2 linked regions of the Ovis aries genome follow. The protein of the gene in region 1 interacts with the protein of each later gene in a pairwise test. Links are inferred from orthologs where the notes say so. Each region holds a gene or a part of one and is shown on either strand. Other genes may lie near its edges.

The links.
Region 2: the proteins of SUPT20H (region 1) and MAPK14 interact in binary tests that used the Homo sapiens proteins (3 or more experiments, as listed by UniProt). The link is inferred for Ovis aries from reciprocal best matches to the Homo sapiens genes SUPT20H and MAPK14.

Annotation. Positions count from the first base shown.
Region 1 is NC_056063.1:24,945,340-24,949,166, reverse strand, and holds part of SUPT20H (transcription factor SPT20 homolog), read right to left. Parts: intron 3,282-3,827; coding exon 3,223-3,281; intron 2,771-3,222; coding exon 2,704-2,770; intron 278-2,703; coding exon 148-277; intron 1-147. UniProt on the Homo sapiens protein: Required for MAP kinase p38 (MAPK11, MAPK12, MAPK13 and/or MAPK14) activation during gastrulation.
Region 2 is NC_056073.1:10,163,430-10,166,547, reverse strand, and holds the end of MAPK14 (mitogen-activated protein kinase 14), read right to left. Parts: intron 2,144-3,118; coding exon 1,970-2,143; intron 1,788-1,969; exon of another isoform or gene 1,706-1,787; intron 993-1,705; coding exon 925-992; 3' UTR 653-924; downstream 1-652. UniProt on the Homo sapiens protein: Serine/threonine kinase which acts as an essential component of the MAP kinase signal transduction pathway.

The sequences.
Region 1 (3,827 bases):
AAAATTTGAAATCAAAGTTTTCTGTTGTCAAGGCATCACTGATGTAAAGGACAGATCATTCAGCAGGATGAGAAGCTCCTTCTAAAAGACAACACATGCTGCCCAACAGATGCAGTTTCGTGGCTGCTGCCCTCTGGAGGGTCTTACCTGATCCATTTTTTCCCCTGAGCATCAGAGAATATCCCTCATTTCCCGGGTATAGGTTGACCACTAAACATGACAATGTCTCTTGCATAACAAGCTTCTCTAATAAGTTCACATTTCTTCTTAATTTCTGCTTTAGAAAGAGGCAGAGCTCGTGAAAATAATCCAGCATAATTTCAAATAATGCAATCACTTAACGAAACGAGACCTGAGTTAGTTAATCTTTGATGCTTCTTCCACATCTATATAAAATTAATGTTGATCTATTACTGTTTTATGCAAATGAATATCACCAAGAAAAAGTGATCCATAAAATAAAACCACCTAAATACAAATATATGTACCTGAATACACAAGTAGCAAATATTAAAAATATTTAGAAAGGAAAACCATTAAATGTAAATTTCTTTTAAAGAGGCTATAATGTATAGTTAGTTTCTATTAAGTTTAAATGTACATAAACAATATGAGGCATTCTCTTTGGTTGTACTGTTACAGAGCACTTTTCTTAAACATTTTATGGCCTAAATTAGATCCAAATAAGCTCAACAGCTCTAATTAGCTTAAATGTTAAATTCAAAGATATCCAACTGGTTAAGAGGATGAAAGTGATTTAAGTAATTTTCTGTAAATTGAACAGCTTCCTAGAAACCACTTTGCTAAAAAAAAAAAACAAAACCAAAAAACAGAAAACTATCAGGAAACATATATACATCAAAATCCATTCTTTAGAAATTCATACAATTTAAAGTGAAACCCACTTATGAATATAATAATTTCTTTCATCAAATCTTATTTGTGAAAGGTATCAGTTAATAGAATATTTTTCATGACCTCAAAAAACAAGCCTGTTTAGAGTACCTTATTTTCAACATGTATATATAGTCATATGCAAAAAATTATGAATTCTTAATCTATAGTCAACATAGAAACAAAAAACTGTATTTTGAAAATAATAAATATATATTTAAAAAGCAAAGCAACTTTTAACCACTGTGATGGAAAGCTGGAAAATATCTTTATTCTTAAAGGACCACATAGCACTTTAGCCTGTGGGCCATAAGGTCTGCATTGCAACTATTCAACTATGCTACTATCTCAAAATCAGCCATTGACAAGACATAAAAAAAGGGGTGTTGCTGGATTCCAGTAAAAGTTCATTTACAAAAACATGCCGTGAGCCGGACCCGGCTGGTAGACAGTGGCTGTCAACAGCAATCTGGAATCTTTCATGTACCTCTCCTACCTTAGTTCTATGTATGCTCACTGTACAGACTGTGGTGATAACTGATGGGGGTATAATGTGAAAATTAGTAAAAGGAAACCTCAACTAAAACTGGAGTGGGGAAGGCCTGCAGAGGGAACTCTCCTGCTCCTCCACTCATCATCCATTACCCCACCAGGAAGAGAATTACCTTGCACTCCTCAATAGGAAATGCAACTATTTTCCTTCCCCAACTGGGGGAAGACTTTCTTCTTGCCCAGCAACAAGCTCTGTGAGTGGGAAAGGACTTCAGCCCAGCCAATGGAAAACACCTGTAGCTCAGCCAACAAAAAGCCAGCATCTCCTCAAGTTTTACTTTCCTCCAGTGAACTCAGGTTTTCCTTGCTGATGACTTTCTTTCCTTGTCCTGCCCTCCTTAACAATATACCTCTTCCATGTTGTGTAACTCCTCAGAGTATCTCTGTCTGATGAGATACTGTTCAATTCATGAGTCTTTTAATAAGGCCAATTCGATCTTCAAATGTACTCAGTTTTTTTAAAAACAATGCATGTCAAAACTTACAAAATGTGTTACATACTTCAAACATACACAAATTATTGTAGGTCAATTATTCCCCAATAAAATGTATGGAAAACATGCCATAAAACTTGTGGTTTCACAATCATGTTTTTCCTAAATATTTTAAAACAGATATTATTAGAATTCCACTAATTTTTTGCCTGAGGTATTTATTTTTAAATTAAAGACACACAACAGAAGCTCACTAGAGCCTTTAAGGCCCTTACAACCCAAGGGTCCAAAAAATATCAAGAAATCAATTTCTATATTTCTACTGCCCATATGTTCATGCTCAATAAAAATAAATTTAACTTGGCCATGAACTAATTTTTGTGACCAAATTCACCTTTTATTATCGTCTATCTAAATTTCCTACATGTCCTGCAATAGTTTTAACTTTCCAGTGCAAATTACCATGAGGAGATAGGTAACTTTTCTCCTGATCTTTGGTCCACAGATAACTTCTCAGGAAGAAAAAGAAGCAAAAGACAATATACATGGTGGTTTTGCTTCTTCTAACTTCCTAATGAGACAGTCTGCTACTCAGTAAACAGTTGAGTTTGCTTACCTCTCCTACCCAAGTAGGCTATCTGCCTGGTACCAGATTAGCCAGAGCTCTGGTTCAGCTACAGAACCAGGTAGTCTGGTTAGAAAGTAGTATATTTGTTCACTAACAAAAATACAAACCGCTACCTGCTTCAAATCTAATTCCTTCAAACTTCCCTTCTTCCACTTCATTTCAAAAGCCATAATAATATAAAAAAATTATACTTACCTTAACCTCAGGCTCTTTTTCACATTCTTCAATATATAAGTCATAAAGTTTTTGAAATATAGATTTTCTAAAATAAAATAAAGACAAAACACACAGAGTACTGTGAATACAATACTCATAAAATAAAGATTTTGAATTTTCCTGTCATTTCCCCCACAATTTCCCAAAAACTGGGTGGTGAAGAGAGGCTGGACGTGGCAGCTAACATCAATTTAGAAATTACTAATACCGTTGACCTCTGCACAACATGGAGGTTAATCCTCATGTAACTTATAGCTGGCCCTCTGTATCTGTGGTTCCTCTGCATCCACAGATTCAACCATTAAGTACAGAAGTGTTTACTGTAAACATCTGCAAATAAATGGACCTGCACAGTTCAAACCCACACTGTTTACAGGTCAACTGTATATGCAAAGTACCCAAGATACAACATTTCTAGCTCAGTGTCCAGTAAGAAACAAATGGAGGCTATCATCACATTTCAGCATATCTATGATACCATCAATTAAGTATTCATACCTTCCACTAGATAGGTATTTCCTTTTAGGAGGTCTCTGCCGGGCACTTTCAATGACATACTAAAAAAGAAAAGTTTAAGAAAACAGCTGGCCTTTTGCTTAGTGCATGAACAACTGCATTAAGTATATTTAAATCATGTGTAAGGCTAAAGACTATTCAGTCATTCGAGTCTTGCATGCATATTAAATCATACCTTTTAGGGAAACCTACTAAACTTCTAAATATATGTAATAAACAAGTGAAATTTAAACTGCAGTAAAATTTAGCTCAATATTTACTTGCATTTATAAGCAAAATCATACCATTTCACCACTGTGATTTCACAGTCAATAATATTTTCAATGTTTATAGTTGTTCAGAATATATATAGCATACCCAATTACAAAGACTCTATATATTTGAGTTACTTCCCCTTTAATTAAGCAAATAGAAAATTTGTTAAAACAGAAAACAGTTTCAGAAACTCTATGTCCTTGTTCAAATATTTAACTCACAATACTGTTCAGTTTTTATTTCACAGCATTACTATCTGAGCAGTCCAAGTAACAGATGATTCAAACATCATCTGGTATTCTTATATATATATTTACAGACAGTATACTCAT
Region 2 (3,118 bases), on another chromosome or scaffold:
GATCGTCACTCTGCTAGGAATGAAGAGCACACAGGAGGTACACCAACAGCAGCAACCAGGTTCTGACTACTGAGGCCAGTACTTAAGAAATCTCTGCACTGAAGGGGGGTATGCAGAGGAATGGCAACGACACCTGGGGGCGGGGCGGGGCGAGGGAGGAAGAGAGGGAAGCACACACACGCATGCTCACACACGCACACGTGGTGCCTCCGAAGGCGCCCTGGCTACTCTGGGTTCACACGTGGCCGCCCGACATCCTGACTACTTGCCTGGCTCAGAACTTCACCTGCTGCACTCTCTTAACCACACTTTCTCCTCTCCTTTTAAGGCACGAACATATTTAATGGTTTCAGGTATACCTGTTGGGTTCCGAGAACCACACTGAGCAAGTTAGTCACAGCCTAGTGCACAGGAGCCGGCTGGTCCTTCTCGGCTGACAGAGAATGAGGGACGGCGCCCATGTGAAGCAGTCAGGAGGTGTGAGCCTTCTCTCTCTGCTGCCGTGGGATGTGGCCAAAGCCGACCCTCAGCATCAAGGCGGGGCCACAGGAGAGGCCAAGATGGCAAAAGCATGACCAGGGTCTGGGATGTTTAATATTTTTTTACTTTGCTTTTAACAAACCATACAAGGTGGCCGCTCTTGCCTGCCTCGCGGCCTCTCACGAACAAGAGCAAGCAGAGGCCACCACGGAGCATCTGTCACTCCACACAGAGTCACTGTGATAGTTTGCTCATCATGTTTTACCCTCCCACAAAGTCAGACACACACACACACGCACGCACGCGCGCGCACACACACACACACCCCTTCCACCACGGAGGAAATCTTTGCAACAAGAGGCACTTGAAAGATATTTTGAGAGTTCTCATGAAAAGGCCTTCCCCTCACAGTGAAGTGGGATCAACAGAATAGAAACCAGACACTCAAGACTCCATCTCTTCTTGGTCAAGGGGTGGCGGCACAAAGCTGATGACTTCATCATAGGTCAGACCTAGAAATCAGGAAGGAAAAGCAGGATGTGAGAGTTTAGACCTTCACTTTGCTGGGAAGCCACCCTAACTTCTAAGCTCAAGACCCTTTCCTCCCTGTCCAGGCTACTGGTTCAACGGGCCTCATTGCTTGTATGTGAACGTGGGATGACCCAAAAGTTCAAGGATGCATATAAAAGAACAATTTTGGGGTCATCCAGTGCCTCCTCTTTAAAGCTCTCTGGAGAAGATACTTAAGAGTAGCAAACCAATTATTTGGGAAATGTAAAAAGTCGTTCAGTTGTGTCTGACTCTTTGCGACCCCATGGACTATACAGCCCATGAAATTCTCCAGGCCAGAATACTGGAGGGGGTAGCCTTTCCCTTCTCCAGGGGATCTTCCCAACCCAGGGACTGAACCCACGTCTCCCGCATTGCAGGCGGATCCTTTAGCAGCTGAGCCACCAGGGAAGTCCCCCACATGCTACAGCAACAGATAATCCTGGCTTTGGGATTTAACTCAAGTTCTGGATTTGTGTTTTATGACAAGAATATGAGACTGGGTCTAGGAGACCTGGGTTCCATTTCTGGCCGTATCCTTAACTAGGTCTAAGCTAAGAGATAAGATATAAATGCTCTTCATTGTTTGCAAAGTTCTGTTGTTTGCAAAGCTGTAAAAATTCCCTAATCCCTACTTAGCTCAAAGAGATAGTATAAATGCAGAAATTCTGAGAACCTCAAAGCTCTATGCAGACGTGAGGGGCTGTGCACAAAATCAGACCAGACAGAAGCATCTCAAAGGTCCAGAGGGGCGTCATCTACAACAGAGGAACACACTCATTCCACGGAAGAGACCCCCACTGCAAGTTTTAACGCGTTGGATACAACCAGAAAAAACTCCCCCCACCCTCACAGCTTTTGGTTAGTGGCTCACCTAGGAAAGATTTTTAAAGCTAGGTTCTCAAAAAGGTAGACAGATGTTCATCCTGCTATGACTTACTTTTCCATTCGTCTATAAGGAGGTCCCTGCTTTCGAAAGACTGGTCGTAAGGATCAGCCACTGGCTCGTCATCAGGATCGTGGTACTGGGCAAAGTAGGCGTGCGCAAGGGCTTGCGCCGCTGTAATTCTCTTATCTGAGTCCAATACAAGCATCTTCTCCAGCAGGTCAACAGCTGGCAATACCACAGACGGGAAGGAAAAGAGAAGAGGTTTTAACACATTACCAAAAATCTATGCCTTATTAAGCACACACGGAGTTTCGATCCTTCATACCCAAACATTCTCCAAAGTATCTGCTCTGAGATATACTATTTATATTTTACTTTTTTACTTACTTTATATCTTTATCTATATATACATACATTTTTTACTGAATCATTTTAAAATAAAATTACAGACATGCAATTTCACCTATAAATATTTCACCATAAAGATGGCTTCCTATACAATCATAATTACATCTGAAAAATATATAATCCCCAAACATCATCTAAAATCCAGGTCACACTGAGCTTTCTTCAATTATCTTAAAGGTGATTTTTATATCTAGTAACTTCTTCAAGCCAGGATCCAATTAAGGACCATGCATTGCATTTTGTTGAGTTTCCTTAGTCTCTTCTATTTCTAGAATAATCGCCCCTGCCTCTCACCCTCATTTTTCCTAGCTTTGACCTGAAAAGACTCCCCACAAAACTGTCTTGTGCTATCATGTTATCTGTACTCTTGCTTTCCTCTATCCCCTGTATTTCCTGAAAACCCTGGTAAATCTAAAAGTTGGTAAGAATTGGGTTAAACATTTTTGGCAAGAATACTTCATAGGTGATGCTGTGTACTTAATGGTACATTAAGGCCATCTGTCCCATTAATAGTGATGCTGAATTTGATCACTGGGTTAAGCTGTGTCTGTTTCACCTTAAGCAAGCACCCTGGCAGTACTAGGCGAGTATCAGTTTCTTTCACTTATAGCTTTCAGCATCCATTGATCTTCCTTCCCAGCAACTATGTCATTAGCTGGGGGGGTCACAGAATCGTGGGTGGTTTTTTTTCCCATCTAATTTCTATAAATGATGATGTTTTGAGTTTCAGAATGGTAGCACCTGGGAGGACAAATAATAAATGACCACAGTTATCACTTTTGTGAAGCAAAG